Oryctolagus cuniculus: one gene and its partner. The protein of the gene in region 2 purifies or fractionates together with the protein of the main gene of each other region. This does not show direct contact. Links are inferred from orthologs where the notes say so. Each region holds a gene or a part of one and is shown on either strand. Other genes may lie near its edges. The genes, in order: PDE6D and RAB28.

Region 1 (4,421 bases), on a different chromosome or scaffold from region 2:
CTTTGTCACGCTCCATCCTGATTCTCAGTGGAGTCTCCCTAACTCAAATAGACGGTCATCTTTGTGGAGGCGGGGACCATGTCTTCTACCCACTAAGTGCCCGACAAATCACAGAAGCAGAAAGCACGTTTGTTGAATTACCCAGAAGGAAAAGCTGAGTGCAGAGGGTGACAAGCTGGTGAAAAGCTGGGTGCAGAGGGGGACGAGAGGAAGAAAGTCCTAGGAAAACACACAGAGCATCTCCCAGCAAGCCCGGGCTCACCCTGCGATTTTACCCACTTCCTGAAATCACATCAAATGTCACCTTGAGTGACAAAGAAAGAACAAATCAAAAGACCAAGTCCTACCAAAACAAATATCACACACTTCCTCATCTGCCAGAAATCCACCGAATAAATGCTTTACCCAACCTCTGGGTGTTCCAACCTTGGATGGGCAAACTACTCAACAAGGCGGGCAGTAATCGCACTGCCATACTGCTAAAAATATCACCTCCCAGGCTGCGGGCGACAGACTCGGGGCCGAATCCTAACTCTGCCCCAACTTGCAGTGACCTGAGGCCGGTCTCTCGCCTCTCTGGGCCTCAATTCCCTCGCACGTAAAAACAGCAGGGGCAGGATTAGCAAATTCTTTCAAGCACCTTCCCGTATTGACAGAGCACACAATCGATAGCTCTCCTGGTCCGAGGCAGGAACACACCAGAGGTCCCCGCAAAACACGCAAACGGCGCCCCCGTCCAACAAACAAGCACGGTTTGAAGAAGTCGTTTTGTTACATTCTTTCGTGGTTTAATCAGTGTTTTTGTTGTTTGCAACCTTACCATGATTTGCAGGCGATTTCTGAGTTCCATGTAAACAGAAGTTAATTCTCTGTGGGCTGTCATCGTCTTTCACCGGGCCACAGGGTCTTCCCGCCTGGTTTTCAGTCTCGGGATGCAGAAACCACCGACCTTGCCGGCAGGTTTACGAATTTGCGCACACTGCGCGGCACACTGGAGCCTAAGTTACAGAGCCTCGGGACGCGACGAATGCTGGGATTTGTAGTCCCTGGGCCTCTCTGCTGCGTGCTGGGATCTGTGGTCCCCTGGCGCTCTACTGGAATTCTGGGAAATGTAGTCCTCTGCCCCTTCGCACAATGCAACCTGCGGTCGTCTCAGGAGACTAGTGAGCCCAGCAGCAGGAGCAGGCCCCTAGAGCCTCTGCAGATGTCAAGCCAAGCCCCCACTGGGGCTAACTCTAGGCAACAACACCCAGTGAAAATTTTGTCCTATGGGACTTCTCGGGGAGGGCGCTTCCCATGGATGCTCTTCGTCCCCCTGCGAAGCCGCTGAGCGTTGCTATTGGCTGGTGAGAATGCCAATCGCCGAGGCGGGCTTTCCATTGGCTTAGGGGCGGGCGCTCCGAGACCAGAGGGAAGGAGAAGGATCAGGAGCGGGAGCTGAGGGGAGGGAGAGGCCGGTCCGGGTCTGGCCGCTGCCTCTGCTTGCCCGAGGTCTCCAGGCCGGGCTGCGGCTCTGTGCTCGCTTCCTGGGCACGGTCCGCGAGGCTCCGCAGGGCAGCGTGAGAGAGCCGCGGGCGGCGGCCGCCGCAACATGTCAGCCAAGGACGAGCGGGCCAGGGAGATCCTGAGAGGCTTCAAACTGTATCCGCCCGGGAGCGGGGAGGGGCCGGGAGGACTTGGGAGGCGGTCGCTCCCTGAGGAGACCGGCCGGGGACTGGGGCGCCAGGTGGGCCCCCGAGGAGAGGGGCAGCGAGGGGGGACAGGAAGGGGCCGAGGTCCCAGGCCCCGGCGCCACGGGGCGCGGGAGGCGGGCACGGGGGCGTCCTGAGGGCGGAGGGGGACGTTGGCGGGAGCCGCGGGCACGGGGGCGAAGGAGCCCCGGGGCCTGGGCTGCGAGGGGCGCCGGGCGCCGGCGAGGGGTGTCGGGAAGCGGGCTGGGCTCGGAGCTGCGGCCGGGAGGGGCCGCGGCCCGCCGGGGAGGGCTGAGGGGGCGCGGCGGGCTGGCCTCGAAGCCCGGCGGCGTCTTTGGCGGGAAGCCCGCCCGGGGGAGCAGAGAAGTGACTGGGAGTGAACGACCTTGCGTGGGACCAGCGCCGATGCCTGGCATTAAATACTCTCGCCCCCCCCCCTCCACGCCTCACCCCGCCTCACCCCGTCTGGTTGCCACAACTTCTTCTGCTCACTTGTGGCTTCCAGGGCTGGAGTAGCAGAGGGCGGTGGGGGGGCGGGCGCCGCTCGCCTCTCGGCCCCTCGGGTCTTCCCTGCAGCCCGGCGAGGACGCGGAGCTCGCGGGTGGTGGGATGCCTCCAGGTGCCTTGGCCGGGGTGCCTTAGGGGTGCCTGCCGCCGGGTCGTGGCGGAGCTGTCCAGCAAGGGTTGGCTTGCGCTGGGGACCCGGTCAGGTGTGAAGTCCCTGCCTCGGGCCTGGGTGGAGCCGGTAGTTAGAGAGCTTTGTGTTTTCGTGGAGGGTTAGTCTGGCCAATGTGATCTTGCATATTCCAATTTTACATTCTCCTACTGACCTTAATCTCTTCTTAGCACCCTATCCGTTCAGTGAGGAACATTCTTAAATATCGCTTTGGGTGAAAATACCGGCATCGCTTTGGGGCCCCTCCCCTGGGTGCTTAGCAAAGCACTGTTCTCTGACCCCCACCTGTCGGGTTGTCACAGTGCCCATTTCACCCCTACACATTTGAATTATTTTGTCATAGCCAGAAACCAAGTTGGTAGTAGAACACAGTGCGAGAAGAGGGTCAGGAGGTTTGGGATGTACAGATGAAAATCTCCAGTGGAATCCTGTTAGGCTTGTTTAAAAACCCAAGGCTGTGTTAGCCTTGCAGACTTCATCCGTGCTCAGCTTTCAGTACTTTCATGTGGTGGAGTTTAGGAACAACCTCTCAAAGCTCCATGTTCCCTTCTGGGTTTCTCTTCATAATGGAGCCTCGACAGGGATAGGCATAGCTCAAGTGTTCGGAGAGCTATGACATGGATTTTATTTTTTCTCTTGCATACTTTATACTTAACATATGTGTTGCAGACAGTAAACCAGAGAATTTGAGATTTTGGATTGCAATTAATGTATTTCTGAAAACCCGGAAGGTGGCTTTTGAGCAAGGCAGAAAAGGAATGCTTGAGCTTCTCACCATTCGTTCAGTCTTGGCTCTTGAACTTGTTGAGAAAGAAGCGGAGGACAAATATGAAAGAGTAGAGAGCAGGAGGTGTCAGCCCACTGGCAGGAATGGGGAATTAACCAGTTCAGCCGTGATGTTGCTGCGTCGACAAACAGGCTTTCAGGGAAAGTTTGAGTGGAGCTAAGTAAGCCCTGAGACAGGAGAGCAGCCGCATAAAGTTGGGAAGCAGTGAAGTGAGAGTGCTGGTCCTCCGTGTCCTTTACTGGCATCTGAGGATTAAGAGAGAAAAGGAAAGCAAGAACCATAGGATTTGCTGCCTTGGAATTCTAGCTTTACATTCCTGACCCCATATCCCTGCACAACTTCTGTAACCTCTACCTCAGTTTTCTCATGTAAAAATAAGAATAATAATACCTGGTTGTGAGATGAAATGAATTGATCTCCAAAGTATTCAGAAAAGCACCTGGTGTAAGCATCGTGTGCTAGCTATTGTTGCGAGAGAAATTCCAGATCATTTCTCTTGCATTTTAGTATTGATCCTTTGCCTATGAAGTATGTTGCAAGTATTTTTTTCTCAATGTATTGCTTGTCCCCTTCTTTTGTTGAACAGGATTTTTAAATTATCATTCCAGATTTATTAGTATTTCCTTCTTCTGCATGTGGCATATCGTTTAAAGAGAACTTCTTTATCCCAAGATTAATCAAATAGCCTGTTTTCTTCTCTTTTCAATATTTAGCTCCTCAGCCTAACTGCAGGGTGTTTACATGTGTGTGGTGGAGATCTAATCATTGCTTCCATAGTCGTCCCAGGACTATTCACTAAATAGCTGCTCTGTCCTTTCCTCACTGTTTTGAAATGCCATCTTTGTCTTATAGAAAGTTTCTATAAGAAATGGATTTTCTTTTTAGAATATTTCTATTTCATTGATCCATCTGTGCACATTTAGTTTAATTACTATAGTTTTATAGTATGACTTAGTATAGTCCGCAGAAGGATTGGCATTTCATGAACAGAGTACATGTGTTTAAAGTCATTGTAAAGGCCCCATAAATATTTGTGTTCCTTTTATTCACACAGAACATTGCCCATCTGTCCATTATACAAGTAGAAACCAAATAAATGTGAATTACAAATTACATAAATCAGATATGGTCAGAGAAAATTTAGTGTAAGCTTTTTTATTTGCCTTGTTATTTCAAAAATAAAATATTTGTAAGATTTCCATGTCATCTACACCCCACCATTTTTTAACTGACACTCATTATCTGTGTTTCTTTTCTGTTTGTTAAA
Region 2 (4,552 bases):
CTGGAACAGAGTATAAGCTGTCAAAAGTATAACTCATCGAGAACACACAAAGCATTCAATAGGTTTTTATTATATCATCTCCTGACATCTGGCTGTAAAAATTAAACAGAGAATCAATTTAATCAATGGGAAGCACTTCCTCTTCAATTATCTAGACTTCATGCCATCTTTCACATGCAATTAATTTCTCACAAGTCACTGCATAAATAACCTTCTTAAAGATTTATGAAGTGAACAATCAGCTTCCTCATCTAAACCATTTTTATCTGTATGTTTTTTGCTTGGAAAAGTGCTAACACTTTTTAATCATAATTCATTTACATTAAAAAGACAACCAAAAAACAATACTGTGCCTCAAAAACCCTAGGAAAATCTGTACTGAATCAGAGTAAAGATGAAATAGAAACATGTGTTAACAGAGGGAGGAGCTAGATTTCTCTTGGAGAAACTGTTAGTGGTTATCTCAATGCTGTATTCTATTCCTCTGTCAGTGTGTATAAAAATGCCCAGAGTTAGAGGTAGTAGGAAAAACTAATGCTAAAAAACTGACCAAACGTTATATTTGAATACAAACAGGGATGAAGAAGAGACTGAGTTCATAAAAGGACAGCAAAGAAAACAGAATAGGAAGGTTTGTGGCTGCCAATAATTTGCAACCTGAATAGCATATGGGGAAAAATGCACAATAAGGAATAATGGAAGGTTAAGTTTCAGATACTTGTGTTAGGAAATTTCCAGCAGAAAAAGATGTTACAGCTTTGAAGTAGAATATTTAATTAAGATGAAGATCAACTCAAAACACCATTAAAAAAGAACTATTATTCTATGAATGAAAATGACAGTCTTAATTCAATACTGGAAAAATTAGTATGTTGGTCAGGATTGTAAACTGAGATGAAAAATCATGATTATTCATATTAAATTAGCAACAGGGGGAAACATGCATGATAGTTTAAATAAAAACCTGGTTACAAAATTATGAACAAAGTTCAACTAATACATATGCAATAAATATTGGAAGAAAAATGAACAAAAGTTTAAAGAATTATGGAAGCATGTAGGATAATGGACACTTTTGAGGTTTTTTGAACACATGCATGTGTCATAGAAGGTCATAGTTTTAAATTAGAAATGAGCTCAGTTATGAATTGATGCAATAAGATTTAGGCGGTTTTCAAAAGAAAAATCTAAATGATGAGAAAACTGTTAAAAAAAACTATCTTTTTTACTGAAGCTCTTAGAGACAGTGCTGATTTACCTGCAACAATTTGTTCATTCAAAAAGTCTGTGTACAAAAACTCATAAAACGACCCCAAGTTCTTTTCTTCTCCAATACGTTTAAAGGGAATGCCAGCATAGTAAGTTGTTTTCCTCAGCAACAAAATCGATAACAACCTACCCAGGAGGGCAGGAATTCACCGCATGCTCCCAGTTGTGCACGCGAATGGCATCTTTCCCGGGGCTTTAGGAACTCAAATTTCAGAACCAAAGGCAGGAGCCACTGTGCAGCGCCAACTGCTCGCGAGGATGCACAGAAGCCGTCACCACAGAAACCGTGTGCAAACTACACCAGCACCCAGGCGACAGGAACCTGGCGGAAATAAGCACTTGCGTTTCTGAGGGCGGCTGGGCAGAAGGGAGGCACACGTTTGCAACATCCCCAGAAAAAGGGTTGGCGCCTTCGACAGACGCGACAGGTGTGCAGGCGCCCCAGGCACAGCCTCCTTGGAGAGCCTGCAGACCCTCTCTCCCCAGGCAGGTGTGGGGCCACAGTCATTCCGTTGCAGGAGTCCCCTAACCTCGGGCCAGGCACCCGCGCCCAGGGGGCTGAGCGACTGCGGGAGATTCTCACGCTCTCATTCATCCGCCCTGCACCGAGGGGAGGTGAGACTGCAAGACAGGGCTCTCTGCGTCACAGCTCCAGCTTCGCCCTGCGCTCTGCCCTCACCCTGTCCACACCAAGGGCTCAACAAGTGCTCGTCGGACAGGTGCTGTGCTGAACAGGTACCAGCAGCTGCGGCTTCACCGAGTGCACACCGAGTCCTGAAAGCCCTGTGTGTGTATTTGCACACGGAATGTGTATTTGCACATTGCACCCTTCGCGGTGACCCCTATCAATATCCATCTCACACATGGCGCACAAACAGCTTAGCGAGCCGCCCTCCAGTGACCCAACCAGCTAAGTGCCGGAGCTCCTCGTTCGCACCCGGGGAATCTGATTCCAGAGCCAAGCTCTGTGCACGGGGAGGCACCAGAAACGGGAAAGGGCGGGGAGGAGCAGGGTGTGACCCCGACTTGGAGTAAGAGGAGGCGAGATGCCTTGGGCGGATGCCTGCCAGTCCGAGAGGCGAGGAGCTGGACAGCTTCCCGGCGAGGCGAGGCTGGCCCGCGCCTTGAAGGAGTTCGAGATGCAGGCAGGGAGTTGGAAACGGGCTGGTTTATTTACTCATTTATTTATTTATTTATTTATTTTAAGGAGGGAGCTGGACAGCTCTCGTCGGCCTTAACCAAGCGCGCACTTCGTGTCTGCCCACAGGCCACGACCACACACGGGCCCCGGCCTACCGGCCCCGGAACTCGGGGTAGCGAGGCGACGCCGGGGGTGCGCCGGGGCCGCGCCGGGGGTCCTTCAGGCCTGGTTCGGCGGGCCCGCTCGAGGACTGACCTTCCCGGAGGTGCCGTCCCCCAGCACGACGATTTTCAGCTGCCGGTCCTGGCTCTCCTCCTCGGAGTCGGACATGGTGTCCCAGGAACCAGGCCTGCCCCCCCGAGGTGGAAGAAGGAAGGGAAGCAGGAGGCCTCCAGGGGCGGGGAACAGGCGGAAGGCAGGCAGTGGGGGCCGAACTCCCCGCCCCGGTGTCTCAGCAGCCACCGGAGGGATTCGGGGAGACTCGCTCGCCGGGCGCCATATTACCCGCCGCCCCGCCCCTCGGCGCGGGGCCCCGCCCCCTGCGCGTCACGCCGGGCGCGCGCCTCCGCCTCTGCGCCAACCCGCTCCGACCGCGAGTCCCCCAGGCGAGAGGGACCACCAGCCGGCCGGGGCTGGAGGCGGGGGAGTGTGGAGCGAGATGGTTGAGATACTACGCCGCCCTTGCAGGGGCAGTTGGATAAAAGAAAAGAAGAGAGCGCATCCTTCAAATTAAGTAGACAAGATGGGCTCAAAAGTTCTCTCGGAGGCGTTCATTCACATTCCCTTACTTCCCCGCGTGGAGAAGGTCCCTGAAGCTAATGGTTTAGTCCGAAGGGGCGGACGGGCGACGTCAGGATGTGCGCCCGGGTTGCCATGGAAGCCAAGAGTCTGGTGGGAAGGCGGCGGGGCGGGGCCTGTCTCTGGGCGCTCGCGACGCGCGTGGAAGGGCCTGGGGCTGGGACAGGCTCTCGAGGCGGCCAGCGTGGGACGGACTCTGGCCCTGCTAACTTTGTCCTCTGAAGTCCCAGGTTTCGTCGTGGGAGCTCGCGCCGTTTCCTGGTGCAAGATCTGTACCCCAGGGCGGCGGTTCCCCAAGTGGGAGGTCCCGAGTAAATCAAACTAAGTCTTCACGGTAATACAGACGCCCCGTTGGCCTTTTCCTCGTCCATGTTCTCGGAAGTTTGCGTTTTCCCGGAGGATACGTGTGTTTGACGTCATCACAGCCAAGGGAGCAAGTGCTTGTTACTCTGTTACGAAGCATTTCTCAATTCTATAGATCAGTGGTAGGTGTAAGCCAGATAAACAGAAGCTCTTTGGAGTCCATAGTTATTCTTGAAGCGTATAAAGGGGTCCTGAAGCCAAAAAAGAAAAATTGAGAACTGCTGCCTTGAATGATCTCAACCCAGGAGGGAAAGTAAATCACGTGACTGAAAATTGCAGTGTAGTGAGAAATGCTACAATAAAAAATGCCCGCCCACTACGTCTCACTGTTATTCATTTCACCAGGATTGACACCTTTACTCATAGAAGTCCTGCATTTCACACGTGAGGAAGCTCAAATCACCAGACAGTAGGCCTACAGAGACTATGGGGATCCAAACGGGAAAACCGTGCAGTGAGAAGCGCCCATCACCAGAGGCAGCACAGCAGCCCTAATCACAAACGCCTGCCAGGCAGAGTGTCTCTTCACCTGTCCTCAGGACCTGAATTACGATTAGTTTCCAGTTCGGTCCTCAGTTTTACCACCACCATCGTCACCGTCTTTATACATCACTGGAGTTGTTCATGAAAACTAGAATCCAAACTGTACTTGAATACATTCACATTCAAGTTTATTCTTTCATGAAGCTACGTGGACTATGGATAGACAGGTCTGGCTGATAGGATAATTTTCTGGGGCTGGCATTAAGGCACAGTAGGTTAAGCCACTGCCTGCATGCTGGCATCTCCACTTCCCATCCAGCTACCTGCTGATGCACCCAGGAAGGCAGCAGAAGATGGCTCAAGTGCTTGGGCCCCTTCCAGCCGCCTGGGAAACCCAGATGAAGTTCTAGGCTGCTGGCTTCAGCCTGACCCAGCCCTGGCTATTGCAGCCATTTGAGGAGTGAACCAGCAGATGGAAGATCGATATTTCTTGCTCGC

The links.
Region 1: the proteins of RAB28 (region 2) and PDE6D purify together in Homo sapiens (affinity purification with mass spectrometry; 3 studies listed by BioGRID and IntAct, with this or other methods). This does not show direct contact. The link is inferred for Oryctolagus cuniculus from reciprocal best matches to the Homo sapiens genes RAB28 and PDE6D.

What each region holds. Positions count from the first base shown.
Region 1 is NC_091434.1:7,549,554-7,553,974, forward strand, and holds the start of PDE6D (retinal rod rhodopsin-sensitive cGMP 3',5'-cyclic phosphodiesterase subunit delta), read left to right. Parts: upstream 1-1,381; 5' UTR 1,382-1,591; coding exon 1,592-1,641; exon of another isoform or gene 1,642-1,726; intron 1,727-4,421. UniProt on the Homo sapiens protein: Promotes the release of prenylated target proteins from cellular membranes. Modulates the activity of prenylated or palmitoylated Ras family members by regulating their subcellular location.
Region 2 is NC_091433.1:8,526,463-8,531,014, forward strand, and holds the start of RAB28 (ras-related protein Rab-28), read right to left. Parts: upstream 2,978-4,552; 5' UTR 2,741-2,977; coding exon 2,666-2,740; intron 1-2,665.